Lepisosteus oculatus: one gene and its partners. The protein of the gene in region 1 purifies or fractionates together with the protein of each later gene. This does not show direct contact. Links are inferred from orthologs where the notes say so. Each region holds a gene or a part of one and is shown in the gene's direction. Other genes may lie near its edges.

Region 1 (7,914 bases):
TAATTTTAAATCGCCAATACTAAGTTTGACAAATCTAAGATTATTAGAAGTTTTTAATAATTTTACAGCACCTTTCTTACATTTATACTACTGTAAGAATTGTCATTGCTATTTTTTTGTTCTGTTCAATGAAAAAGGCTTTAAGATGTAAGCTTTTAAAGGAGCTGTATCTGAAATTTTAATTAAATCAAATCCTTTATTATATTTAAATTCAATCAGTTTTTTAAACTATAACCAGGGACAAAAACATGTTTTGCACCATCAAATGTGAAACATACCATGTTAAGACAGTCGTCCAATAGCATATCACCCTTCTTCATTCAGTTTTAAGTCTTCATTATTATTGTTGGTCTGGGTGGACCACCTCTAGAAAAACTGCAGTGCAGAATTGGATGGGAAAAATGTGTGCCTCTCCAAAGGTGGATGGTATCTATTGCACAGACCCTCAGCTAATAGAAAATCACCTTGTTTTTGTCAGATAAGTGTCCCTGTCAAAACTGCTGGAGTTTATAGAGCACCTCCCATTCCCAGACTGGGACCATGCAGTGAGGGTGCAGGGAGTGGTCTAACTCCCCTCCTAACCAAAAACAAAATATCAAGTAATAGGTTTATTCCATGCTGAAAAAAAGAAGAAAGAGAACACAACGTTTCGGCCGTGGAGCCTTCTTCAGGTGTCAAAATTTTAAAAAAGAGTAGTCTGTCGTTAAGAGAAGGGGGAAGGTGTGATCCTAGCTGCAGGATAAGTTTGGTTTCGGTAGTCTTACTGATGAATGAGTTCAGAAAACCGTCTTTGATAACACAGACGGAGAGATTAGATTGGTCAGGTGTCACACCTGAAGAAGGCTCCACGGCCGAAACGTTGTGTTCTCTTTCTTCTTTTTTTCAGCATGGAATAAACCTATTACTTGTTCCTTTGCAGCCTACGCATGCTGACGCAGCTACCCACCTGAACAAAAACAAAATATGTGCCTCTCCAAAAAATACGTCAAATCTATTCTACAGACCCTCAGCTAATAGTACATCACCATGGTTTTATTATGGTTATTACCTCTGACGGCCACGACCAATCTAATCTCTCCGTCTGTGTTATCAAAGACGGTTTTCTGAACTCATTCATCAGTAAGACTACCGAAACCAAACTTATCCTGCAGCTAGGATCACACCTTCCCCCTTCTCTTAACGACAGACTACTCTTTTTTAAAATGTTCTCCATTCATAGGTGTCTCTATGAATTGGCTACATTACTCTGCTCTCCTCCCCACTGATAGCTGATGTGTGGTGAGCGTTCTGGCGCACTATGGCTGCCGTCGCATCATCCAGGTGGATGCTGCACATTGGTGGTGGTGGAGGGGAGTCCCCATTACCTGTAAAGCGCTTTGAGTGGAGTGTCCAGAAAAGCGCTATATAAGTGTAAGCAATTATTATTATTATTATTATTATTGGAAGTTTCATTTCACACCTCTCTACACCTATTCTGACTTCACACCTCTTGATTGGCCTCTCTTTCTGTCCCCTGCTCCCGCCTCTCACTCCTACTCCCTCCCAGCCTTTGTTCTCCCGCTACTTTACCTTTGCTTACTGCCTTGTCTCTCTCACACCTGAAGAAGATTATATTGCCGAAACATTGTGTTTCCTTTCTTCTTTTTCTTCAGCATGGAATAAACCTATTACTTGTTCCTTACTATTATTATTATTATTAGTAGTAGTATTAGTATTAGTATTAGTATTAGTATTAGTATTCAAATAATTATTTATTCAAATTATTATTTGAAGTTATTATTCAAAGGTTACGAAAGGTTATTATTCAAAGATAAGTGTCTTTGCTAAACCTGCTGGGGTTTATAAGACCACTTGCTGTTCCCAGACTGGGATTGTGCAGCAATGGACAGGGAGCTGTCTCACCCCCCTCCCGACCAAACCAAAATTTGTGCCTCTCCAAAAATACCTCAGATCTTTTCTACAGACCCTCAGCTAATAGTACATCACCATGGTTTTGTCTGATAAGTGTCTTTGCTAAACCTGCTGGGGTTTATAGAGCACCTCCCATTCCCAGACTGCGACCGTGCAGCACAGTATGCACAGTATGGATGCCTGCAGAAGTGATGTCGATGGTATTAATCTAGATGGTAGCTGTTATGAGAACACCCCTGAAATTAAAACACACAAGATAAAGCACCCAGACGGTACTGGGGACCCGACACTAGGTTGAGAGCACAGTGGTAATTTTCCAAAACCAGCTATAATAACCCAGCAAACTTTACAGAGATAATTTTATCAAAAAAAGCCCAAAATCACACTTTTCCCTTTCCCAGGAACTGCCTTTGCTGCCTTAGTGCAGCATCTCAAGGGAAGGTCCTTCAGGAAGTATACTGTACATGGGAGCATGTCTTTGCAGCAAAAATCAATTAGACAAGCCAATATTGTGTCATAATGTTTACTTCATGCAGGTTTAACAACTGTATTAGAAGATATATTAGAAGCTCCATAGTGTTGCTCAGAGCATGACTAAATATTTTCAATGGGGACACTATGGAAAGCTATCTCAAAAGGTGTGGGAAAGCTGTCAATGGGACTGCACAGGGCCATGAATTAAGGTGTACTTTAGTTTGGGCCAGTTAAAGTCATGTTATGATGCAAGCTAGTGAACTCATGAACTCTGTAAAAAGCAGTATAGTGGAAAGTGTCAAAGACACAATGTTGGCATGTATATCTTCAGTGTCATACTTAATTCCACGGGATTAGAAGACCTGTCCTCTCATATTTATGACACCTGCATTTTCATGGGTAGTATATGCATTAACACACTTGTCACAGAGTCTATTTCCAATCTCAAAAGTCGAGTATCACAACAGGTGCTGTGGACTCAAATGTTGATTTTGGATGCATATAGAATTTGAATGATTCAATGTCTTCACTGTTTAAAAAAAAATTACATTAAGGCAATGGCAGATATAAACACACAGGAGAACAAAGGGTCCAATGCCTATTTTGGTTCATAACATTTTTTTTGGAAAAAAAAATTGTCATCAATCCCCATATGGACAGACATACTAATAGGCAGATTTCAGCAATACCACAAATTTCTGATGTAAAATCAGAAATGAATGTGTGGAAAGGTTAGAAACTCTTTAAAAAGCACATACATAAAACCCTATCAAGACAATCAAAAATTTTTAGTCTAAATGATAAATGCAAAATTGATGGTCATACAAATGATTACAACAAGCCACTTACCATTAAACAGTGGTCTGGAAGTAACGATTGAGCTCTTGTCCACAGACTATTGTAATTCAGATTCCCAGAACACATTCCACTGAGAACTGCAATTGGAATTGGAAGGTGTTGGTAAATTGCGATTTACTATTAAATCAACAATATGCCATGAAGGAAAGTCTATAAACAGAGATGAACATTATTGGGCAGCACTTTCATGCATTGGACAGAAATTTAGAATTAAAGCAAATGATCAAAACCCCAGGGGGAAGAGTAAGGAGCCCTTTGTTTCTAAGAGATAAAAAGCCCTAGACAGGACAGAAAATAAATCTTTGACAGAAGAATTTTGTTTGGCCGTTGGACCCTGGAGAGGACAAAGACACCATGGATTCTACAGGAATTTGCTGAGGAAGGCTTTGGCATCATCTTCATTCCCCCTACCTGACATTGGACTTGGTAGCAGGGGGGGCCATGAAGGAACTACATTGTTCATGAAGGGCAGGACTGGAAAAGTTGCCTAAGACCCACTTAGAGACAACACTGAGTTTCATCTCTTTCCATGGTGTTATGGAAGAAAGTAGATGACCGAAGCTAGTTTCAGAGAAAACTACTACTGGACCTCTCATTGGAGATATATGTTGATAACTGGATTAGGTGGGGTTTCTTTGTACTATTCTGGAAAGTTAATGTGGGGCCTATTTAGCACCCTTTGTATGTAGTTTGGGCACAAAAGAATAAGTATTGTTTTTTTAGGGGTCACCTGTCCATGACAATTAATTATTTCAATAGTCACTATTATTTTGAAGAAACAATAACAGCTGTTCTAATTTACATGATCTTTCTGTCAGTAATATTAAGAATCTATCTGTTAACAGCTATGGTTAACTACGTTTTAAACGTTTTATAAACTTTGCATACATTACAACACTCCTGAGTGTTTGAGGCTCACTGGAGATTCATTGATGTATAAAGCAAACTACTTAAAATAAAAAATAAATATTATGTATGACATATTAAAATGAAAGCATACATAATTGACTTCTCATTTCTTAACGTCTTTGCAGTCAGGCCATTTTTTCCCTGAAAAATCAGAAGTTTATTCTGCGAATAACAGCGTTCATCCCCACCACCAGCAGGATGTTGTTACTATTTAGCTCTGAACAATACATTAAACGTTAGATAAATAATTAGGCTATAATATTGTTTATTCGTTAGCTGCTAAAAGGTCAGTTCTTTAATTATGTCTTCATTAAAACATTAAATCATTTTAGCATTGTTTAGAATGGTAGTTTTTAATGTAACTGTCTTTAACTCTGAAATTCTCGGAATAACGTTTTTATTCTTAAGAAACATTTTATCTTGATGCAAAATTATTTTCAGCTGATAGGGCAAACTTTGTACACAATTAAATTAGTGTTTTGTCTTAATTTAGGTTGTGTACTGGACATCGTTCAATTGCGCATGGTCGAGCGGCGCTTTACAAGCCCACATATTTTAAAATGTATCGCTAGAAGGAAGTAATTTTTCACACTGTAGTGTTACAGTACGCCCATGTCTTTCAGGGTTTCCGGTAACACAAGTTCATATCACTTGAGGCGCCTAGTTGTGGTAGTCGTCACTGGGAAATAATATTTCCACGAGGGAATGAAAGTAGTTTAGGAGAGCGTTTCGGTGCTGTACGGAAAGAGATATGTCAGTGGGTGGCGCTGTGACGGAGAATGCAGAGCGCATTCCTCCCCCCCATGAAAGGAAGAGATTTTACAGCAAAACGAGGGTGTGGACCTCGGGGGACGTAGTTGGGTTGAGTGTAATCGTCCACATAATCTGAGCGAAAAACCCCTTTATTCAAACGTGCAGGTAAAAAAATACATGACTCTTTGTTTTGTGTTTAAGGTGGGACATTTTCTCTGTGTTTTTATAAATGTTAGAGCTGTAACTTGTTTGCGTCCGGTTCAGAAAGGGTATACGGGAGCAAAAAAAACTTAGCTTAGCCTAGTTATTTTTTCCAAGGTGTGGGATGTTCATTTTCGTTTTTTTTAACGGTGTTTCATTATAAACCGTCAAAGCATTATTACTGTTGACATTTCAGGTCAAAATGATTCTGCTGAGGTTTTAAATATTGAAAGTTTGTTTAAATGCGCACAATTTTGTTTGAATTGAAAGCCGCATGGATATTTGCTGTCGTGGACAGAAGTCACCGCAGATAACTTGCGATGAAGTTGATGTATACTTCCTACAGGATCTATAGTTTATAGAAGTGGTGTTCATTGGTGGTTAATTTGCTGTGTGAAATAAAGACGAGCGAATGAGGATGTTTTACTTTTTATGATAATTAGGTCCTAGTCTGAAATTCTAATTTCCTGGTCTCCGTCACAGTTATGTGAAAGTGGAGTAAAGCTGGTTCCGTTCCCAGTTGTTTTTCGAGAGAGGGGTCAGCCTGTTTACCCTGCCTGGGTGATGAAGTGAGAGGTTTTGTGCTCCATGTTTGACGACGGAGCACAGTTAAGTTTCAGGAGAGTTTTTCCTTTAAGGTTTTCCCAATTACCAGGGCGACATTTGAATTTAATTGTCCTCAATTAGCTTTTAAATTTGTATTCTGCTATTTAATGGCATCTGCAACTCTTAGTTCTTAAACTGTTAAGTAATCTGAATCCACAGTATGTGCGTCGTAAACGTTAGCTAAAAGCTCTTAAGGTGTGATTCAGGTGAACGGCATTGACCCCTCCCTGTTGGACCAGGTTACCTCGGCATGATATATCTGTTAGGATTTAGAGGTAAACGCACTTATTATTCATCACTGCACTTCAGGGCTGTACTGTATCGTAAGAAATTTATTAAAGAATCGAGTGCACCGTGGTTACCCAGGTTTAACAGCTGCTGCAGCATTTTCCTTTTGAAAATCTAAAATCTTATATCGCTGCCATCAACCCAAAGCATTTTGTTAAAAGTACTCAGCCTCCACCAAGGTGGAGAAGCTTAAATCCACTGAAGAAGTGAGAGTACAGATTTTGAATTAACTTTCCTGCCTTTTGAGTACATGCAGCAGGTATAGAGAAGTTATGCTCTTTATGTGTAAATGGCTTATTTGATGCTCAGGTTTGCTAACTACACAATTTATTAAGGTTTTCTTTATGGAATCTTTTCACACTAAATCTTGTCATGTGTAGAAGCAACAGTAAATCTGTTGACCTGCAATTTAGTCAGTAGTGTTTTGACTTAGAAATATATACAGATAACTGTCAAAATAAAGGCAACACCAGGGCATTGGGCTACCGTGAACAGTTGAGAACAGGGTGAGGGCTGACTCATCTGACCATATGATTTTTTTCCCTGCTCAGTGGATCACCGTCTTTTGTTCTTTGCAATGCTTTAGTTGCAGAAGTGCATTTTAGGCCCTAAAGGGGTTACGCAACACAACCCAGCCTTAGTATTCCTCTTCGAAGTTCTCAACAGACTGTACTTGACGAAACTCAGACATACTTGTCTGTTTTGCATCTCGAACCAATGCAAGGACATCACGGTCCAGGAGTATGTGCTTTCATCCACCGTTGCCACTTGTTGATGAAGCCTTTCCTTCAGACTTCCATGCCAGCATAGCCATTGTTGAGCAGTCTTCATCACTAAAACTTTTGCCAAATGAACCCCAAAAATCACCTGTCTCTTGGTCATTAAGGTCTCTTATTCTAGAATAAACATAAAATGGAGAGGTATTGACAAATGCACAGAACATGGGAAGAATTCAATTACATTACAAACGTTACAAAGTTTCAATATGTTGAAATAATTTATAGTATCCTTGTCAAAGAAGAGATTGATACATTAAAAAAAAACAAAGCAAAAATGATTTAACAGCCATAAAGAGAAAAATGTGATCCCCCTTCTTGCAGATAAATGACAAAAAAAGATGTACCTTTCAGTCTTTAAAACAACACAACTTCATAGAATCAAGGTGATAAAATCAAGACAACGCAAGGGGTAGAGCATATGTAGATGTACATTTGTTTCTTATCTTTTTACTCTCTTAAATCAAGCAGTTTGAAAACAAAGGCACAGGCTGGGAATCTCACCATGTAAGTAGCGTTTAGGCAGGATTCTGATTTAAGAGGCATTCAGTCATAATCCCACAAATGGTTGCTTCGCACCATTGGCTCCTCAGCCAAGCAGATGAGCCAAATGTCTGAACCTGCGGTCCCTCTCTTACTGAGCAGGATTACCATTGCAACAACAGTTTCCTCTTCATTTTATGGTGATATGTGGCTGTAGCAAGTTTTAGAGTTTTTTTTAACCATACCCTTCCCTTACAAGCTATCTGTAATATTTCCTGTCAGAGGTCTTGACTTTGAAAACTTGCAAATTCATCTTAGCCCACAGTACCAGTTTTCAAGGGTCAGATGCAGGAAATTAAGGATATTTCTTTTCCACAGTACTGTGCACTTCATTGATGCAAGTGTTGTTTGGGGTTTAATGCTCACACAGGTGTAAGTCACGATGCACTTTATATATTACTTACACATGGCCATTAAGCTCTGACAAACATTCGCCCTTATGTTTGCAACCATTGAAAGTATTCAAGGTGGAGGTGTTTATTAATAACTATTTAATAATTCCTTGTCTTCTTTATTGTTAAAAAATAACACTTTATATTTAAACATTATACGGTGTTATTTACTTTTAAATAAAAAGATGGTACGCCAAATGAAC
Region 2 (6,921 bases), on another chromosome or scaffold:
ATTAATCACTTTTGGATTGTAGCTTACTTGAAAACCTTTTGGTCAGGTAAAAGGCCCACTTATCTGCCAAACCCTTTGACACACTGACATTAAACGATTTCTCTGAAGGTAACATTTTTTTCATATTACGGTCAGATGTGAGTTATTAAAGCTTCACACCTGGAGGAAATTAATACTTCTCAATAAACATTTTTTTTAAATAACCATTTTTGACCACTTTCTTGACTTCAGAAGAAAGAAAAAAAAAGTGTCTTGAGCAAAGCTTATCATTAAGGTAGCTGCTGCTTTCTGTTACATATCACCGTCACTTACCTTTTAATCCTGTAGTGCAAGAGGTTACCGGTAATTACATCATCTCTACTTTCCTTCTGCTGTCTCTGGTATATACCCCTGCAAAGCTTTATTCCTGCTCCAGTGGGATTAAACCATCACCTGGCGGCTGCGTGAACTCTGTCACCCTCATCTCCTCATCTGAGGGATTATTTATTAATGTCATCATTCATGGATTTGATCGCCTCTAACGCAGTGAGAGGTAACAGAGCCCGGGGTGACATTATTTCCTCCATAATTTGCCAAACTAGTGGTTTGTGGCACATCTTGCTATCTTGCATGGTTAATGACCTTATTTGAATTTTAATTGTGATTTTTCCCCGCAGTATATAAGTCCTCTCCTTCTTTCCTAGAATTGTGCTCCTTCTTTCCCCATGTGCTCCTGTGTTCTAACTTAAGATCCATTATTTTACTGGGAATAGCATAAGTAGTAAATGAGAAATTCTTACAGTTCTGAGATGAAAAGAAATGTTACAAAATGGGACAAGAGCGTATTACACTTTTGGCCTTGTTTTCGGACAGCGGATTCATTTCATAAACAGTTGTTCAGCTGTCACATGGCCCCACAGACGCAGAGAAGACAACCAGGTTAGAGGTGTTTTCTAATTATGGAATGCTTTAGGAATGTCTTGTTTCACCAATTTTGCAAGTGACTCATTAAACACATAAAAGGACTTCAGATTGATGCTGCTCTGTGACAAGCAATGCACTCTACAAACTGCTGATCTCAGTGTTTCATGAACAATTGCAGCATTAATTCGTCATCTATCACTAGTTCTGTAATTACTATCATTATTTTGTTATGTCCATTTCATGTTCACCAAGACAGGGGTACTGTACTGCATATCACTGAATGGAAACACAAACATGTACAACACTATTTATGGTAACATGCGAGATAATTAACATTTTTATTACAACGATGCAGTGTGAAATGCAGTTGTTCTCTAATTACAATCATTTGGAACACAGTCTGTGGTATTAAATAAAATTAGCCTTCATTGCTAATATCAGCTTAGTGGGGTTTTAATTGGAGTGACCCAGAGTAAATCTTCATGCAGTAAAGAGCAGTTGTGACTACATGCTGCCATGATTCTGTGTGCAGGCACTTAAAAAAAAAACCTTGCTTTCCTAAAGCACCTGCTTGGGCCTTGTCTGTCAGCCGTACTGTCATCACTAACCATGAGGTGAAAAGAAAGAACTGGGTGCTCCTGTGGGCAGCTGGGGTTTCCAGACAAATGACTTCATTAGGAGAGAGACCCTCGGGTCTCTCCTGCATGATCTAACGTCAGCCTTGTACATTGCAGCCTTCAGGGGCTCAATAATCCCAGGAGGTCCTCGTTTCATTGGAGGTAAAGGGACAGAACAGCACAATAATGTTTTATAGATCAGCCGCGGATCCATAGAGCTTTTTATGGAGAGAAAAAAAGGAGAAAGCTTTTCACACGATTTCAATCCAGACAGTCTACACTCTCCTCCACCCAGTTCATGAGTCTGTGAAAGTAACTAGTGAACCGAGCAGGAAACAAGTCCAGGTGATGAGCGTGAGCTAAGTGGAACATTCAATAAAAATAGAGCTGTGCTGAGCTGCTTCCATTTTCTAAAGCCTGCCTTTTTACATTTTTCTGCTCACTGGAAGGTTTGCCGATACCGTTCTCTGCATTCATCTGCTATTTAGCTGCACGTTCTTGGGATGCAAAAATTGTAAAAAAAAACAATTAGTAACGACCTTTTCCCTATACAGCATTCTTTATTGTGTCTCAGATGGGTCAGTTAGGACGGGACCTGCAGAGGTGTCTGTGCATTTTGGAGAGGGGGGACAGGGTTTAAGTGTACTTTCATGAGTGCAAGAGACATTTTCAAGCACTTAGAATGGAGATCTTGAAACAGCTGGTTTATCACACTTTAAAACACGTGGTGGCTCTAGTGTAGCCAGTGAAGATGTGGTAGCTGGTAACCAGCAGAGTTTGATACCGCAGTGTGCAGAAGTTGTTCAAATCGTGTGCGAAAATATACTTTGACTACTAAATCTTGCTTCTTTCAGTGATCAAGTAAAGTATGTCTAGTTGGAAACACAATAAACTTATTGAAACTGTAAAGAGTTGAGCCTCTCAGGCAGAGCTCCAGGGGGAAAAAGTGCAGGAAGACTCTCTGTCATACCCCAGGTTTCCATGGTGGGGGAGCCTTTCAAGTCTTGAGTGAGAGGCTGTGGGTTCGAGTCCCCGCTGCAGACACTGCTGTTGTAGCTTAATGAAGAACTCTACCCCCAGTTACTCCAGTCCTTCCAATTGTAGAAGTGGGGACCAGCTGGTGGGGTAACTCCCTGTCCATCCATCTGTGGCAAGGAGTGATCATCTGCTCTATTGCCTGTTCAACACTCCTGAAACTAAGAAGAGCTCTTTTATATTACAATTGCACTCCAACATCACAGGAAAAAATAACTGCTGGTCATGGGATTAATTTAGTTGCTGTAGAACAGGAAGCTGGTATAAACCTGGTGGTTTTGTGTCAGTGGGAGTGGGGGTCTAGCAGGTGAATGAGCTCTCTTTAGCATCGGGTACACTATTTCTCTCCCATTTCCCCGATCCAACAGGGTGGCACTGATCCCTGTCCAACTGAACTCCAGCGTGCAGGTGTGAAAGTCACCCACGTGAATAGGGTGTATTTGAATGGGTCTGGGGACTGCAGCGACATGAGCTGACACTGATGTAATACGATAAAAGCGTTTACTTTAGCGCGCTGTTCCAGCACATTGCATTACATTGTTCCTGCACGCCAGCAAAGGGGCAATACACGTCAGGACCGACCGCATATGACCATTTCCAGAAAAACGAGGCAAGAAGTGTAAATACCTCCTAATTACATTTCGCGAATCACAGCGCTGTCGCGTACTTTTGACCCCGGGTTTATAACTACTTGGGTATCTGGAAAACAGCTTCTCGGTAAAACCTCGCAGCCTGAGCTGTAACATAAGCAAAGAGAAGGCTGACACCCGGCGCATAACTCTAGCTGGCTGTAATAGCATGACAGCATGACATTTGCGTTCGCTAATCCCAGCAAATGACCCCCCCCCCCCACCACACACACACACACCATTCTAGGTTTGAAGGATGATAGGAGCGAAAGTCTTTAATCACCTCCAAGGCCAAAAACGGAGGCTATTCAGAGAAAAATGGCAAACAAATTAAACTCCCCTGCCAAAGCATCTGAACTCGAGCTCCGTCGTTTCCCAAAACATATTTTTTTGGGGTCAGCGGCAGCACCTTGGAATTAAAACTGGAATCGACCCCCCCCCCCAGTTCAAATACATGCACATTGTGGCGTTGCCTGTAGATCTGCGAGTGGAGACATCTTATTGTGCCCCAGGGGAAGGCAGCGTGTGTGTGGAGGAGGAGGGGGTGGGAGAGTGCACGACTTCACAAAACCAGACAAATCGCCAAAGGGTCCCCCCCCCCCTTCCCCTGCGCCGAAAAGGTTAACGCAAACGCGTCTGCGTCACCGCTCCCGGATCCGAGGGGCGGCGTGAGCCGGGCGCAGCGTGGAGATCAGCTGATCGCAGCGAGTTTCAGAAAAGAAAAAAGACGGGCCGGAGAGCGACGAGAAGAGCGCACACACACACAGCCCCACCAGATTTCCGGACTCCCTCCATCCAATGAGCGCACTCCACATGCGGAGCAGGCGAGAGGGGCAGCAGCGAGTGAGGCACTTTCAATAAAACGCGAGTGGCGCTGGACGGGCTGAGCCACTGACGAGAGAGCGGCTGTGACACGGGCAGACGCGCACCCACGGCAGCCTGAGGAGTGCACTGGCCATTGCAGCGTGTGGCACGGAGGGCGACTGTTGCAGCCGGCTCCTCTGGGAATAAAGGAGACACCTTAAGCAAAGTGGCCTGGGGAGGGGATCGGTTGTTTTTTTTTTCTCTTTTTTAAATTTTAAGCGTGACTTAAGTCGGCAAAACACGCGCATCAAAAAAAACATTTTGGACGAGAAGCTGGCGGAGGGGGGAGTCACACACACACGCATCGTTTTTCTTCGTTCTCCATAAGTGCCGGGATTTCTACATAAATTCTAGATATTATTATTTTTTTTTCTCACCCCACCGGACGTTTTCTGTATGTAAACGCCTAGTTTTAGAGTATTTTACGCCTTTTTGTTTTGTTTTTTTTTTCTTCTCCTTCCTTCGCGAAAGGGACGTGCGGCGAAATTGACACGGACTGAAAGGTGGCCGAGTCCACAAAGTGAGAGAGAGAGAGAGAAAGAAAAAAAGTGTCTTCACAAGGGGAGCATTTCCACCATGGAGAACGCGCACACAAAGACTGTGGAGGAGGTCTATAGCTATTTTAACGTCAATGAGAGCACAGGGCTGAGTTTGGATCAGGTGAAAAAGAATAAAGAAAAATGGGGACCGAACGGTAAGTGATGCCGTTTCATTTCCAGAAGTCTTTTATGTATACAAATATGTGTTGGTTTTTTTTTTTGTGTGTGTGTGTGTGGGGGGGGGGGTTAGTGGTTTATTTTTACGCAACGCAAGGCCCGTCTTATGCAGCCAGGTTATAGTACAGTAACCGGCATGCTCAAAAATGGATAGTGAAAATGGCTGACGTCATCATGTACAACCTCGTGGGTTTTTCAATCCGTTCGCCTTATCGCGGGGGAAAGAGGGAAGCTCGCCGTTAACCTTGAATGCGTGCGATAACCGACCCGGTGGGTGAGAATCGGAAGATTTCGGAGGGGAGGGGGCTGTTCTGCGGCTGTTCCCCGGTTCCAGCGGGCTGGGGGGTTGGGGGAAAAGCCGGCTCAGGGCCTCGGACTCGGCTTCCCAGCTCACGTTTCTCCCTGTCTCGTCTCAAGCCCGGTGACCTAGCGAAAGCGCAGGTGAGGTGGGGGTTGGATGCGAACAGCTCCGGCCGCCTCTCGGCTTCATCTCACCGGCGGCGCCGGGCTGGCTTGCGGGCCGCCCGTACTCACTTCGCCCCTGCGCATGACTCGGCTGAACCAGCCCTGTGCATTGCAACACCGCCGATTCCCCGTGTCCTCGGCGTGGACACCCACTTCCTCGTAGCGACGCGGAGCACGGCTCGGCACACGCCTGCCACTGCGCCCGAAGACGCTGCGGGGAGCGGGGGGTCCTCATGCACGGCCGCCCTGGGTCGTGTTTCAAATGTCAACAAAGCGCACATCTTATTAGCGTTGCTGTGTAAACGGAGATTTTGATCTTTTGTTGCCTGTGTAACTCTCTCCTCTTCCTCTCCCCCCCCCCTCCTCCCCCGGTCGCTTTCTGGTTTGTTCCTTGGAAACACGCAACCCCAGAACTGCCAGCCGAGGAAGGTAAGCAGCACCGCCGTTTTATTAATATTTTAAAACCCCCCATTTTTTTTTTTGGAGGGGCTCATTCCGTTTTATTCCACTCTGAATTTGTCTGTTTATTCTGTCCGCAGGAAAATCTTTATGGGAACTCGTTGTCGAGCAGTTCGAAGATTTATTAGTCAGAATTCTTCTACTGGCAGCTTGTATATCCTTTGTAAGTATGCGCCTCGAAGCCTTCACCCAGTATCAGTCCCTTACAATTAAAAAAAATGAGGCACAGATCACCAAACTGTCCTGGGTATTTTCCCGATGCAACCTCCCGGCATGCTGTTGAAACTTACTTTGGCTGCCTTGCAGGTGTTTGACCTGAGCAGGCAGCTCTAAATGTTTCACTGTAAATGAATTGGGCCCAGAACTGGTGGACATCTTACTTTTTATGTTGAAGCAAATGCTGGCGTGCATAATTTGCATGTATCTGAGTGCAGTTTTACTTTGATGCTCTTTGCACCTTTTCCTCCTTGTGTAGGAACTCTAGAATGAGTCGAGGAGAGTGTAGTCCTTGTCTAGCTATCACTTATTAACTGCGCATGCTTCTTCCTGACAGATATTTGGGTATTCAGTTTAACCTCAGTACCTGGTTCTCGTCGTTTGCCTAAGGTCAAAAGGTCAAGTTCAGGATGGGCTCAGGTATGAGTTGTGTAGTTTTGAGGAGTAGTCCAGGATAGGAGGCCAGTCCTTTGCAGGAATCCCCCCCCCCAGCAATGCTGGTCCCTACTTCTACAGCTGGGAGGACTGGAGCAACTGGGGTCAGATACCTCACTCAAGTTGCACCAGCAGTGACTCGAACCCGCAGCGTGTCAGTAAAGAAGAAACACACCCACTCTGCTACACTGCCCTAATCTACTAGTAATTTATTTATCACAGCCTTTTGCATGAGTCTGGAAGGATACTTACTGTGGCGATGAGGGATTTTGTCCTTTGTTGAGATTTATTCTTATTTGGAAACTTCTGTGGCAGTATAGATTTATTGCTTAAACATCAGCCGTTCCTTATGCAGTCAGAAATGCCCAAATATAGGCCTTAAAACTTTTAAGCCTAAATCTTCGCAAGTTACGTTGTCCCTGAGTGAACTTTAAAACCTTTTTCCAGTGGTATGCCTACTGTAACACTGTAAACGTAATGTCACTCTAGAGAACCTGGTGCCATTAATGTGTTAGACCAGTTTCCAGTCAAGGTATTAAGATCCTAACCTAGTTTTTTAAACCGCCCACGTCTGTGGCTGTT
Region 3 (7,548 bases), on another chromosome or scaffold:
GTAAAATAGAAAGGTCACTTCTGTTTTTAATGATAAAATACTGTATTTCACAATGGATATACTGTTTTAATATACTGCACAACAAATGACTACAAAACCATTTGGAGACTAAGAATAATTAGATTAAGAGAGAGAAAGAGTGGGCACTCTTTTATATATGAATTATCATTCAAAATATAGACCTGCAGTACATCCCATGTGGAGTCAGAGATACAGTATGAAAGTGTAGAATTTGAATCTAATATCATGATATATTAATTAGATTAGATTATGCTATTTAGTCTGCTTAAAAATAGTCTTTTCCAAACTCCCTAATAACATTTAACTATGATGCTAAATCATAGCTCGTGTTGGCAAAATTCTACCTTTGATTAAATTGTTAAGAATATTAAGAATAAAGACCGAAGACTGAAGAATAATATAATAAATGTTAACTTATATTCTATATTCATATTCCTCTGGATATAATCTCCAGTGAAATAACAGAGAGTTTGGAAAGGAATAAAGTAAGTGACACATTTTTTAGCTTTAATTTAAAACCTTTTGTTACGTGTAATCTTAATTTGTTTTACTGCACATACCTTAATGAGTCAACTAATCAACAATATCTTATGTACTAAGTACAGGTAAGATTACACACCAGAGAAAAAAGGCAAGATGTGTAAATACAAGAATTAAAAAATTTAACACTTGTACAATAGTCTTTTTCACAGCTCACATTTGTAACTTGGACAATATTTATAGTTTGCCTTTTTACTCATAATTCTTACAATATTGCTTTACCTTAACATATTTCATATACATTTTTGTTCATTTAAAGGTAATTTTTAAACCACAAACAGTGATGTAAGGAACATACTGTAGGTCACCATATTCAAAACACTTACCCAACCCCCATAGCTTTATAAACCCTTAAGTGTCCTTTAGTTCTTAGTTATATAAGGCATGAAATGTCTTGGTGTACAGGTGAGATGAACCTAGAATGCATTTCTAGGCCTATCAGCAGGCATCAGCACTAAATGTAGTTACCATCTGCAGGGAAGTCTTTTTAGATTTTGAACTTGCACTTTATTATTTCAGCCAGAGAGTGGCACTCTTTACTTTCTATGGGTTTATTCCTCTACTCTTTTAAAATATTGAGTTTTCAATACAGCTATTCTGGTCTTGTTTTATTTCCTCATATTAGACCAAAGGCAAATGTTAGATTCTTTACTCCATTGATCAATAGCTGACAGGTCACACAAAACTGATGGGAGCAGGGCTGAGTTAATTCGTTTTACTAAAAACCCTCCATAATGTATTGCTTTTTACAAAAAAAGAAGGTTTGTTTCATGTAATTGCACTACATGCCTTAAAAATAGACGACATTTACAAAGCACGTAAATTCAAAATGTATGACCTCCATTCAAAATCGATGCCATGCAATTGCTTTCTATTCATCTCATTGTGGTGCTTAGAGCTGTGTCATTTAATAAATGACCAAGAAATAATCCATTCACATTGTACAAGTTCACAGAGAATCATATGTGCTAGACAGTTCTGAAATAAGTTACAGCCTACTTGGATTACCTGGATCAAAATGGCTTAATGTTGCTTTTGATGGGTGCTTTTGGTTCAGATCAGAAAAATCTGAAATGTAGTGAAACTTGCAAAGCTTTGCAATGGCTAAAAAACACGAGAAGGAAATTCAGAGGGTTAGCCTAAGGTGCGGTTCATAGCTCTGAAATAAGAGAGGAAACAGCCTCCTAACGTCTGCACGTGCCCTCGTCAGCAGAAACTAAATATAGATGATTAGAGGGAACACAGAATTTTTAATATACATTTGTTAAGGGTTTGGTCAGTGAATTTAAACATAAAGGTTAACCAAAGCAAACCTTTTCTGTCAGCAAACATCCTTGAAACCTCTAAGGCATGCGTCGCACATACAGTAACAGCCTATTGCATATCTGATAACGTGCTACTGCATTTTACCCTTTAACGAATGGGAAGGCAGCCATGGGGAGATTAAGTCTGAAATTCTCTCATGAATTTTCCCAACTGCAAAAAATGATTTCTATCAAACCCATTAAAGTCAGAAGTAACGTGAAAACAAAGCCGGAGAAACTTACTGATTTTCTTTTGATGAAAAATAAATACAGCTCAGTGTCCCCACAAACTACAAAGCAGAGGAATACTTTTTATCCCACTTTTGAGTCCAGTTTTGCTATTGGAGTACTGGAGAATGAATTGTGACGCAAAGGCATTTAGGCTTCAAGTTGTGAGGTTTCTTCTATTCACTTTACTGTGTTGTGGTTGCAGGCCTGTTTGTAGCAGAAACTTCAGTTTTCATCTCTTTAGCTTTATTGTGGTTTGCTGATGACATTATATGACCCAGTTTCTGTCTTCTAGCAAAGCAAGACGGGGTAGGGTTAATCCCCCTTTCATAAAGCATGTCAGGAAATATGATTGGCAATTACCGTCTGTAAGAGAAAGGGTTTGCTTGTAGCCTTTTTAATTAGACGGAATGTAAAAATATTGAAAATAGCCTTAGAAATGGATCAGAGTTGAGTTGTAAGGAAATTATTTGTGTGCTGTGCCGAGGTTGATCTTTTTAAGCATTTACAGATTTGGGGATTTGTACGAAAGTAGCTCAACTGTTAGTTGTAAAGACATAACATATGAGCAGCATGCCAGCATTAACATTTAGGTCAAATTTCAGTGATTTTTCAGTGATTCGCTCTGGACAATGTACAGTTCATACAGCACTTCGGGGAAGATTCAGTTATGATTACTCAATCTTACACACCTTATAAAGAGGTATAGAATTTTGAAGATGAAGTTTTTGTGCAGTTAACCAGTTCCACTTAGTTCATACACAAGCTAAGATAACCTGTGCATCTTACGTTAATAAGATTACTGGATTTTACCTAGCTGCATTCTTTTATTTTTAAGATCAGTTATTACCACATATCAGAATCTGTACTGGGCAAAGCTGAAATGTGCACTTTGTTACGTAGGCTGAGATTACCAAGAGAATAATTGTTTGGCCAAGACAGAAAGCTGACAAGAACTTTTCCAATTAAAAATTTCCAGTATATGCTATTTGTCCAGCATATCACATCAGAATTACAGACGGACTTTTACAGAGACACTTTTGGTTGAATTTTAGTTCTCTGGAATGACAAAGAAGCTAAGATGACATGCCCATATCATGTAAATAAGTGCTGGGTAAAAGCAGGTAAACTACACAAGTGTTGTTTTCCAAACCTCTGTTTGATCTCCACCTTGTCAAGAGTGAGTCTCGTATCAAACATACAGTATCTGCAGTCAACAGGAACTGGAATGGTTGGCCTTTCAGAATTTCATGAGATTTTATTTTTTCCAAAACATTCTCTCACAAATGCTCTTGGAGGTACAAATGTATCTCCACTCTTTATTCAATATTTCCTAGTGAATCCGCTCACATACAGCAGTAACATTAGCTAGTTGAAAAATATCCCAAAACCTCATTGTTAATAATGTCACTGGCGCTGTTGGGAAAATGAATACTTGAAAAATGCCATTTCAAAATTCTGTTTTCATTGTTCAAACATCCGTGGATTGACAGTTGCTTTAAAAACAAAGCTGTAATTATATCACCTCATCACAGAGTTTCACTGAATGTAAAGCCAAGAAGCTAGTAGAAAAAAGACAACCATTGTTTATTTCTGGGCAAATCAATGATAAATGTTCACGTGATGTGAGCTGGTAAGAAAGAAAACCTGAAATAAAAAACAAAGTTTTGTTTGGATACTTTTCCTATCTCTTTTGATTTAATGAGCAACTTCAACAGAGGAAATTTACAGCATAGGGGAGGTGCCCAAAACTTCGAGCCTGCTGTAGCTTAGTGTTTCATCGATTTGTACATGAAAACTTTTAACTGTGATTTCATGGCAGTTAACAGAAAAATGTAAACCTGCTTTTTAGTTTTAATAGAGTAAGTGCCATACCAAATCAAAATATTTTCCATTCTACTTATATAATCATACTGCTTGCAAAAAATCCCATAATAACTGGTTTTATGGAAGAGATGATAGTTTCATGCACAACAGACAGTACTGAAAGAAGTGAAGACTGATGGCATACACAAAAATTCGTTTTCTTGCTTTCATTGCAAATAAAAAATAGCAACAATAACTCATTAAGAATTGTAGAAGAATACTTGTGCAGGTATTTGAATTTGAAATTTTGAATACTTTTGGAAAGAACTTTCTAAAAAAAACCCAGGGTACTCTGATGTATGATCAGCACATCAGAATCCATAATTAGACATGAAAATGAAGTCAAATAATATACCCGGCGATGTTTTTGCTTCTTCAAACAAAAGGTTAGCAGTGAGAGAACTCCCTCAATGTGTAACTGTAGTTATTCTGGGGAATGTGCTGCAGCTCTGTGTGAGTATTTTCAGTACTGCAAAACCTTTTCAGCTAGCTGTATTTTACCCCAGCGGTTAGTACCGCAAACTGAGCTCTAATGTAAGATTAATAGGACGCTCAAAGCGTACAGTGCCAAACCTTGTAACGTGAGGTACATGGCTGTAATTCTTGCTAGTCAAGACCCAGGGATCCAATTTCAGTTACTGGCGTCAAGCAGGCGCACTGGACTAACACAAAAACCTTAACCTTCTCAAAAGCGTCACGGAATGTGCAAATAGCGGCGTCTCTACTCAAAAATACAGATCGATGCACACAGCCTCCTGAAATGTATCTGGGAAAGGCACTTGGGCAGTGCCCATTGTGATTATCTGGTGATCAGAAAGTCCCATAGCAGTTAAATTGTTTTGGCTTTTTTTAGCTCACGTTCCCATGTGACACCCAGAAGGTGTGTATGTGGTTGCATTTATTTAAATCTATAAAGAAAGCAGTGTAATGGATCAAAGGCGAGGCTACGAAGAAAACCGAGCGAAACGCATTATAATCGTAAAATTCAACTAAAAGACGAAGAAAAAAAAAGGGGGGAAAAAAAAACACCGTGGCACTTTTTTTTTTCTTCCAGTGACCTCCCACACGATCAGTTTAATCTGGAGGACTGATCAAAACAGTTGGCTACACTAGCTCTTTTCTGCTGTGAATGTGCAGCTATGATGATGATGTCACCGAGTCTCCACTTTTTCTTCTAGTTATGGCGGAGCCGAAGTTTTCAAACTTGGGTAAGTTTTACCAGTGGCTGCATTACAACGTCTTGTTTCGTTTGACTTGGTGCTTTGCCTTTGTGAAAGCTGCGATCTAAACAGTTCGCCCTGTTAGCCTGCGAAATGTTAGCCGAATAGGTTTCAGTATTAATGCAAAACGTCGGTGTTTTGTTACGCGCTGCGAGTTTGGATCGGTCAGAGATGGGCCGTTGGTTCGGTGGGGGGGTAACGAAATTAGTTACGTTGTTTCGTTTTCATCTTTATAATACCCTACGGCAGAACAAAGCCCACAAAAGCTGAGGCGTCGTGAAACACTGGCGGAGACATTGTATTCCAGAATCTTAATGTGTTCAATAGAATGAAAAAAAAATCTTCAGTTCCCAATTTAATGAAGGGAGTTCTGAAAGAAACGCTTGTTTTTATCCCATTGTTGTGTTAAAGTATTTTACTTTTGTGTTGCCTGGTAGTTCGGAAAATGAATTATCGAAGCCCTGAACGTGACCGTCAGGCTTGTAATGTGCTATCAGTGGGAAACTGAAAAATTCACATTGCTTTGCAATTGGAGAGTTTGTGGAAAAACGTTTTAATCAGGTTATTCTCGTTGTTGTGCATTATATAGGCTAACATATTTTAAGAAACATCATTATGTGCAACGCCAACAGCAATCACTTCAAGAAATTCAAATGAAAGTTATACCGTGTTTACTATTTGTCTCACTTCAAATGTAACTTTAATGAAGTTTACGGAAAACACAAACTAGAATAAATTCCCTTTTTCGAAATGTGCTTTTTTATTAACTTCTTGTTTTAAGAACAAATCGTATTTCTACATTAGAGTGCCACACACGATCTTTATATTTTTTTTCTGTTAAAGTAGAGTGCAAATGAATATTATATTTGTGCTTGGATTCACAGTCATGATGCTGTTAACCTTGTGAAGTTGAAGATACAGTGAAATCTAGTAATTAGTGGAGAATTTAAAGAGACAGTGTCGCTTGATTCATGCGAGAGATTCATAAACACATCATTTACGATTATGTTTAATAATAAGGTGATGTCTGGGTAACTGACCACTTCAAAGAATAAGTATGTTGTTTTGAGTTTTTAGGCAAGTACAAAACGTTGATGATACATTTGGTATTTAATCGGAGAACATCAGTGATTTAGGAGGTTGTTCACAGTAAACGTTGATCGCAATGTGTAAAAACAAAATAAAAATAGAATAATACAATTTTGAAATGTAATTTCCCTGCTTTTCCAGACGTTCTTAGCAGAGTGCAAGAGAAGATAATATTATTTTCATACTTTATCTGGAATAGTTGTCTCTGTAATTTTAGACTACAATACCACAGAAAATTGAATTTGTCTGAAGTGGCTTATTGCTGTTCAGAAACTATTTGGTCACATTGTGGGTTTTGTGCTGGCTGGTGATTTGATCTGGTTTCTCAAACGTAGGGGGTTGTTATAAATGTATTGAGGTTTTATCTTCGATGTTATGATCGTTTGAAATGCTTTTTTAGGTTTGGTCTGTTGTGTATTGTTGTACAGATATTGTTGTATTGACTTGTTTCAAGTGGAATGTAAAAGTGCAAATAGCTTTGCCTTCCCTTTGCAAAATACTCTGCTACTGCAACAAATCGTGCCGTGTGAACTCTATTTCAGTGGCTGGATGCCTCCGTTCTTTAGCTTCAAGTTCATGGCTGGGCTTTGTCTTCTTTAGTTGTGAAAGGCTGTGCAGTGTTATCAACACTACCCATAACTACAGATGCACAGGTGGCTCCATGCTTTGTCTCTTTCTGTGCTACTCATCTCAATATTGTTAGCCTCAGTGGACAATTTCGCCAATAAGTTGTACTCTTGTGTGTGTCTGTTCTGCCTCAGAGGTCAGGTGTAGGTGAAAAGAAACCACAGTCAATCCATATAAGATGATCGTGATCTGAAGGGGTGTTATATAGCCCAAATGTGAGTACTGTGTTTGAATTCTCAGAGTATGTTAATCTCACCTAAGAATATGTAAATGTTACATATGTTGTCAAAAAGTTGTGGCCTACTGTTTGGTGGTTTTAAATGTTTTATGGCCTGTAAAAGCTCTTCAAAAGCTATCAGTTAATAAAAGGTGCTTGCAATTGGCAATTTGTTTGTTATCATTGAAAATGCACCAGCCTCAGAGAGTTTAAATGCTTGGTTTTAAGACATTCGCACACAGCTGAATTTGTGTGAGCCCATGTTTTAGTATCTGGAGGTGATGGAGAGTTAATGCATTTTCTCTAATGATTTTATTTGAAAAGGTGTGTAAAAATTCAACTGTGAAATGCTGAGCAGTAGGCCTAATAATCTCTTTGTTATTTTAGGTTCTCTCTTACTTTCACTGGCTTCATTTTTTCTTTGGTTCAAGTCGTG
Region 4 (7,383 bases), on another chromosome or scaffold:
TTGACTTTAGGCGGCCCAGTCTGGAGCACAGACAGCTCAACTACATTGAGGTGGAGATGGAGAGAGGCAGTGATTCAGATAACCCTCAGACCCCCAAAACCCCCACTACCCCTCTCCCACAGACTCCGACTCGCAGAACAGAACTGTATGCAGTGATAGACATCGAGCGGACTGCTGCCATGTCTAGTTTGCAGAAGGCACTGCCACGCGATGATGGTACTTCAAGGAAAACACGACACAACAGTACTGACCTGCCTATGTGAGCCTAGATAGCACTGTGTGAAGTTGCACCTTTTTTTCCAGATAAAAACAAAACTCTTAAGGACAGAAGGGCTTCAGATATATTTTACTTTCTTTTCCAAATACAGTAGCTTTTGGAGACTTTAAGCTAGTCATGGATTTACACTGTACGTTGTGCTGACTTTAAAGGGAATTAAAGTAGACCAGGTACTTGCCATGTAACACTATCTTATTCTATGATGATCTGATATTTTCTGGGGGTGGGGGTTGGTTGTTCTAAACATTCCTTTTTCGGTGACTCTGTGATTTGGTGGAATAAGAAAAAAATCTCCAAAATGAGATTTAATGATCATCTTTGTCCCATTTCCAGCGGTGTCTTGCCATTGAGGACATCAGATTGCTCTCCAAGTGGCCCCTCGTGATCTAAAATTGAACATCAGTTCACTCTCACTTGTAAAACAATAGCCAGCAGTTAAAAAGAACGACAGCAGTTTCTGTGAAGGTTAGCCAGTCATGTTCATCTGTATGTTGGCCAGGAGTGATTTTCCGCAGGTTATTCTGTCATGTGACTTCCATTTGACTACCATGTAATTTAGCCAGAAGGAGAACAGGTTTATTGTTGCTGTAGTCTCTCATGTTAAGGTGGATTCTGTCCCTGGTTAGACCCGAGATGCTTCTGTGGTACGGTCTGCAGTAAGTTCCTGTTTGAACCACTCTAAAAGGTGCTCCTTGTGTGGATTATTCCATTTATTAATCCGTAGGTTTTAGACTATGAACAGGACGTGTTAGAAGAAGCATCTTGTATAAATTCTCCCCTTTTTTTTTGCTCATAAAACATGGCAAATTAGTTGTCTTGAGATTGTCATTAAAGAGATACTATACAGCAAGAATACTTGTGCTGACGCTGGAAGAAGGTGGTGATAGACTTCTTGCGGCTAAAGTGGAATTAAATTATTGTACTGCTGGATCTTTCACGGGATCAAATGTTACATTGTTCAAAACATTTTTATTTCTATTTGACTCGCCACTGAAGTTTTTCTCCATCTGTCTCTATATTAATGTTATATATCTAATTTTGTAGGTGTGTATACTTATTGCACTGAATGTGTTACGGTTAAACGAGCTGGGAAGGCATGGGCCATATGAACCGGGTTGGTTTTGTCACGGCGCGCCACTGGTGTCTTGGTAAAAGTCAGCAATGTCTTCAATTTTACTTTTCTATTCACTTTTCTTGAATAACACATTACATGCTGTTGGTTTTTTACCTGTTCAGTTTCAGTACCTGAAGAACCCATTTTGTTTACTGACAGTGCATCTCCACTGCGTATCTGCCGAATTTCACATTCTTTGAAAGGAAACGGTACATTTACCTTCTGAATGTGTGCTAAAAAGATTGTAGGCTGCTTTCTCATTGTAAGAGCAATTGTGTTTGAGTTCCACCTAATAATACTCTCTCTGTACCTCTGGACAAGCAGGCATGTTTATTCTGCCTTCTGCATGCAAGCTGGAAAAAACGCTTTGATAAAATCATTGCAGCTGTTTAAATTGAAACATTCGTTGTATCTTATCCATAACTAGAAATCATGAATAATTTTTTGGCAGGTCTGCTGGCTGACTTTTAGGTACCCACCAGTAAGATCAAGTGTCCTTATGGGAATGATAATGGCAGCAAAAAAAAAAGTTTACCATATATGAAACTGTCAGACATTTTCATAGTATTTTAAGTCTCAAGACAAATGTTTCATCAGTTACCTTGTATTATATTGTAAGATTTATTATATGTTCTAACATGCATTATTAAAAATGATAGTTTTTCTACCTACCATAAAAATGCCTAAATGTAGGAAGTGTGTATAAAAGTAGTTTAATAGATTTTGTTTATTAAATCAATTAAATTGTAGTTTAAAACAAAAACCCTTGCCAAACCATTTTTTGGAAACGATGTTCCTTGAACAAATGCCTTTGGGGTTCATTATAGGTGAAAATTTTACTCTTCAATTGTTTTGTTATCTCTTCCCTGTGTTATTCAGGAGAATAACTATGCACCAAATGAACCAACACACACAGAGCTATACCACTGTCAAGTACAAACATTTAATTTAAATGTATTTTGATGTTTGCATTTTTCAGGTATGGATATTGGTTCACCAGAATGGTCCAATTTTTTAAAACAAATGTTATGAGGAAAAAAAGTGTATTTTGTGATATCTACATCTTGTCAAATGCCATCTGTGCCAACATTATTTTTTGTAGCATGGCAATAAAAACAATCTACAATGTTTTTTTTGTGACGTGATGTTTTTGTTGGAAAAGTGTGTCTTTAAGTGTGTTAGGTCCTCTTACCAAGAGGGTACAAAATCCTGTAAAACACAAAAATTGACCCAGTTTTTGAAGTGATGCAAATCGTAAATTCAAAGAATCCTCTCTCCTGTAATCTACATATTTTGATGCACAAATATTTCATGGGCATGTACACATTCCTGTGCCTCTGTTTCAGCATAGGCTGCAGTAATATGATTTAATGAACCTTAATGAATGTGATAAATTTAAATACACCTGTATTAGAAGTTAAGATAATGCTGAAAATAGTTTTAGTGTCTGAATGTGTGGTTTGATAACATAACAGTGCTTTTAAACACCAGCCCTTTTTAACAGGTTTAAATGCTAAAGGTGTGATATATCATGTACCAAAGTTATTATGCTAATAATAGCTAATATCCTCTGTTAAAATTTCTTGGGTAGCACAAGTGAATCATTTAATATCCAATACAAACTGTACAGTGAGCTAAACACCTTTATTTACCAGACCCGCTTTTTATTGACGTCTTTGGAATTGTCATCAAACATGAGCTCATCCTCTCATCTGTCTGTATGATCAGGTTTCGAGGTGGTAGTTCCCATTTAGTTACCAAAAGCGTCAGAAGATTCAATCTAGAATATTGGGGACCTTAATGCTTCCACAGTGAGATGCAGAAACAAACATTTAGCAAAGAGGATATCGCCAACGTATTCCACCAGCCTAATTCCTGCCCAGGGATAACTGCTATTCATTTGCCATACTAAGTGCTGGTTACTTTGCATTGCTCCATGACCTCTGTGACAAGACTGATACTAATATCAGTAGTAGTGCACAATAATACAATAGTCCCCATCACTGGTCCTGCGGGAGTCCTGTCTGCTGGTTTCCATTCCAGGTGAGCTCTACATCTCCAGTGCTAACTGATGATTACATCAATCTGCTTGCTTGTTTCATACTTGTGAAACATACTTGTTTCTGTGGCCTGTCCTGAACGTCACAGATACTCGACTTCAGCTGTCCTGTTTCTAACAACCTCGGCACACAGAGCTTTACACAGCCTCTCGCTAGATTGTTTTTTTTTTCCATATTTCTGACTAAAAGGTTCTTACTAATTGATGATCTGATAAACAGAATGATGCTGTATGAGACACTCCCACAGTCCCAAGTTTTGTTTCCTTCTGCGGAGGCCCAGTCGGTCACATTTCGAACTGCAGTGGCTGAATGAGAGCAGTTCTGGATGTCAGACGTTGGTTCAGGGTTGATACCATTCACAAAGCTTCAATATACTTATGGGCAAATGCAGAAAAGGTAAATGGCATAAGAAATGCTGAGAAAAGCTCCGTGTGATTGTGATGAGTGCATAATCAGAAATTCCCACTATATCAAATTTCCTCTTTTTATCACAACAGTAAGTTCTTCCATTTTAACAAGCATTCACACTGAACATCATAAGAAACCTGTCTGTCTGTTTTGAATAAAATAAAAATACATTTTGAAATATTAAGACTTGCGAACGGGCACGCACTTGTTCAGCGAGCAATTGTATGGCCAGACACGCCACTAGCCTGTGACTTTTACAGTACACTTTTTGTTACACAACCAAGCTGATTACCGATGTCGATCATGAATTCGCCTATTAAATACCTGTTCAATATATAAAATGGCTCATTAAAAATATATATATATTCTCGTTTTCTTTCCTGGTGACGTTGCATATTTGTTTCAGTTGTAATGCTCGTGATATAGAATATAATTTGTGATCTAAGCGAACGGGAGAGCTTTTTTGAGCTGGTAGGAATCGACACTTAAAGCTTATACGCGCAGCGTCAGGAGAGGCGAGGCCTTACGCGGTGACGTCATAACAAACGCCATTGCCGCCGCAAGGAGACAGTTGATTGTGTGGCTGTGTGCTTTGTACCGGCGGAAAGATGGTAAGCGTCTTCATTTATGAATTAATAATCAAATCTTCAGATTGAAAACTACTCATTTACAGTCATAAGAGTCCAGTTTTTCACTGTAGCTCTGGAGTCGATTTTCCAGCGTAAGATTCCGGACTTAAGGTCTCGGCTCGGCGTGGAAGGAAGCACATGGGCTCCTGTAGGCTGTTCTCGGTTTTGGTTAAAGATCCCGAGATGATTTAAAAAAAAAACTTGTCTCAAAGTACACACAAAGGAGAGTTGGGTTAACGGTGTAGTTCGTCATGTGAACCTTATAAGAAGAAAAAAAGCGTGCACTAATTACAGCCGTGAAGGGTTACAATGAACGAAAAGCAGCTACCGGTTTTTGCAAGATCATGGATGGGCCACGGCTCATTGTAGGCCTTGCCGCACTGAATTCCTTTATAAGAACATCAAAATGTAAGTCGTTGAATCGCAGCTTCATTGTAGACCTCGGCCTGTTGGCAGAGTTATTAAGACCGAGAATTCAATCTGGCATAACTGTCATCGAAGTGAGAAAGCGGAGGCCCTGCCGTGATTCTAGTTGTTTCTAGGAGGGGAGGGACTACTGTCGCACAGCGCGATGCGGACCTTAGCGAGCGCCGATCGTACCATGTAAGGTCTAGGAAGCTGCTGAAAATGGGGGAAAAATGCGAGAAATATGCTCTTTAGTCAGAATTAACGGGAGTTCAATAAATACGCTTTGATTACTTTTTTCTGTAACGACTGCATTGTTTTTACGTTGCACTTGCCTCAGAAAAATAGGTTCTACTTCTTCGGGAGATCATTCCTTCACGGGACATTTTAAAATACTGCGTATTCGCTGTTTTCTGTCTCGTTGGCGATTTTTATAAACATTGACTCTCCGAGGCCGATTTATTTCCCGAGTTTTAGTTTGCCTTGTTTTCGCCGTGATTCTCTTTTGCTCTACAATCCCGTGTTTTGGCTTTGCTTGTCGTTTTGAGGCGATTGTTTTTAGCAGAGACGCGCTTCCAGGAGTGTTCGGTAGTGGTCGCGGTTATTAGACAGCTACGCATGTTAGAGGCTGTGATTTTGTCGAATACACTCATCACAGAGTACATCTAAAGGTAGCTTTTCACTTTCTGTGCGCTACGTACTACCTCAGTGGTAAATGAACCAGTGAATCAGATTGGTATTTTAGTACTTTAAAAGACGGCCAGTAAATAATTACAGCCCACTATTAGAAAATGATGTTTTGGTATAGTTGTATTATTTTTGGTTTCGTAAATACATAATAACAGGTTTAAATAGACCTTTAAAACTTGAGTAATGTCGGAACCTGGTTTCTCTGCAGGCATCCCTCTCACTGGCTCCCGTGAACATCTTTAGATCTGGTGCAGATGAGGAGAAAGCAGAAACAGCCCGACTGGTAAGTGCTGCTCCTTACAGCAGGTACCTGAAGAACGCACACAGCTGTTTTCATTGTGCAGAATCCCAGTTCAGGATGTTACTTTTTTCTGTGTTTTCTTTCCCTTTCTAGTCTTCCTTTGTTGGTGCCATAGCCATTGGAGATCTGGTGAAAAGCACTTTGGGACCGAAGGGAATGGTATGTGTCGTTATCAATGATTCCACAGACTGTGTATTAAATGGAAAAGACGTCTGTGTTCAATATCCCTCTATCAACATGCTCACTACTGGATGATTCAACAGTACAATATCATACTTGACATTTAATGCTGCTCAGCGATTGAAGCTTTCAGAATGAAATGTCAAAGCAGTGCAATGTGTCACTGTCACTGCAGCGATATTAGAACATCCTGGTATTTAATCAGGTTGCAAAGCAAAATATGCAAAAGGCCACCCATTGAAGTACAAATTGTGATATTTACAGGATTAAAAGTTAAGATTGGAAGGTATTTTGTATACTGGCTGATGGACCTGTAGCCCCACCTTGCTGTAGACCAGTGGGAGACGTTAAGAGCTGGTTGACCAGTTGACTTAAGAGCAAACTTGAGTTAGGCCAGATTGTGTTAACCCAGAGTGGAGTATAGCCAGGAGGCCAGAGTTTACACACCCTTGCGGTGCCATGGGATTTTTATTGACCAAATAGTTGGGATTCTTATCCAACTTTCAACGTAAGAATCCAATTCTTATTCTTAGTTTAAATTCTTATACAGTAGATTATCATGTCTTCCTACAGCACAGTGTCCCTGTCCTGATACACTTGCGCTGATTTTGGACATTTGTTTGCAGTCGTATAATTGCAGCATAATTATTTCTCACATTTTTTAGACCCGACTCGGGCATGATCCACACTCCCCATGCTTTACAGCAGTGATTCCAGTGATTCGTCCTGGTGAGCCACACACTAGCTGGATTTTGTTCAAACCTCTCATTGACTCAATAAGCTTAATTTTATCTCTTTGTTCCCTGATCTTAAAAGTGTTGGGGCTTGAACAGCTGTATCTAGTAAGAGAAATAAAATCCCAAACTTGTGACTAGAAACAAAATGCAAATGTTACAATGAAGCAAATTCTTAGATCACTTAAGGCTTCAGATATCTGATTAATGTGGGGTGAAATGAAAACCAGCAGGTGTGGTGGACAGATGGGTCCTGACGTTTCTTGTTCTAATGGAGCCTGTGGTCTTCTATACAGGACAAGATTCTCCTCAGCAGTGGAAGGGATGGCTCTGTGACAGTTACGAATGACGGGGCCACCATTCTGAAAGCTATTGGGGTTGACAACCCTGCCGCGAAAGTGCTGGTTGGTAAGTGTGCGGTTTGTGTTCAGTGTGAGGAAATAGGGGTGCCCAGCTGTAGGCGTGACTGTTTTATTACATGTATGTTCCTACTGACAGGCTGCAGCTGGGTGTCTCGCCCATGTACTGCAGTGCACCGCGCCAGCTTTCATTGACTTACATGATGAAGGCTTAGCCAGTTTACCG

The links.
Region 2: the proteins of ilk (region 1) and sarcoplasmic/endoplasmic reticulum calcium ATPase 2 purify together in Homo sapiens (affinity purification with mass spectrometry; 3 studies listed by BioGRID and IntAct, with this or other methods). This does not show direct contact. The link is inferred for Lepisosteus oculatus from reciprocal best matches to the Homo sapiens genes ILK and ATP2A2.
Region 3: the proteins of ilk (region 1) and raf1b purify together in Homo sapiens (affinity purification with mass spectrometry; 3 studies listed by BioGRID and IntAct, with this or other methods). This does not show direct contact. The link is inferred for Lepisosteus oculatus from reciprocal best matches to the Homo sapiens genes ILK and RAF1.
Region 4: the proteins of ilk (region 1) and cct2 purify together in Homo sapiens (affinity purification with mass spectrometry; 3 studies listed by BioGRID and IntAct, with this or other methods). This does not show direct contact. The link is inferred for Lepisosteus oculatus from reciprocal best matches to the Homo sapiens genes ILK and CCT2.

Annotation. Positions count from the first base shown.
Region 1 is NC_090700.1:23,031,247-23,039,160, reverse strand, and holds the start of ilk (integrin-linked protein kinase), read left to right. Parts: upstream 1-4,894; 5' UTR 4,895-5,070; intron 5,071-7,914. UniProt on the Homo sapiens protein: Scaffold protein which mediates protein-protein interactions during a range of cellular events including focal adhesion assembly, cell adhesion and cell migration.
Region 2 is NC_090717.1:10,109,558-10,116,478, forward strand, and holds the start of sarcoplasmic/endoplasmic reticulum calcium ATPase 2, read left to right. Parts: upstream 1-3,918; 5' UTR 3,919-4,624; coding exon 4,625-4,742; intron 4,743-5,640; coding exon 5,641-5,658; intron 5,659-5,768; coding exon 5,769-5,851; intron 5,852-6,921.
Region 3 is NC_090699.1:62,314,019-62,321,566, reverse strand, and holds the start of raf1b (RAF proto-oncogene serine/threonine-protein kinase), read left to right. Parts: upstream 1-4,535; 5' UTR 4,536-4,839; exon of another isoform or gene 4,840-5,013; 5' UTR 5,014-5,167; intron 5,168-7,548. UniProt on the Homo sapiens protein: Serine/threonine-protein kinase that acts as a regulatory link between the membrane-associated Ras GTPases and the MAPK/ERK cascade, and this critical regulatory link functions as a switch determining cell fate decisions including proliferation, differentiation, apoptosis, survival and oncogenic transformation.
Region 4 is NC_090702.1:23,374,665-23,382,047, reverse strand, and holds the start of cct2 (T-complex protein 1 subunit beta), read left to right. Parts: upstream 1-4,381; 5' UTR 4,382-4,467; coding exon 4,468-4,470; intron 4,471-5,791; coding exon 5,792-5,866; intron 5,867-5,977; coding exon 5,978-6,043; intron 6,044-7,094; coding exon 7,095-7,206; intron 7,207-7,383. Other genes in the region: frs2a (fibroblast growth factor receptor substrate 2a), read left to right, coding at 1-263. UniProt on the Homo sapiens protein: Component of the chaperonin-containing T-complex (TRiC), a molecular chaperone complex that assists the folding of actin, tubulin and other proteins upon ATP hydrolysis.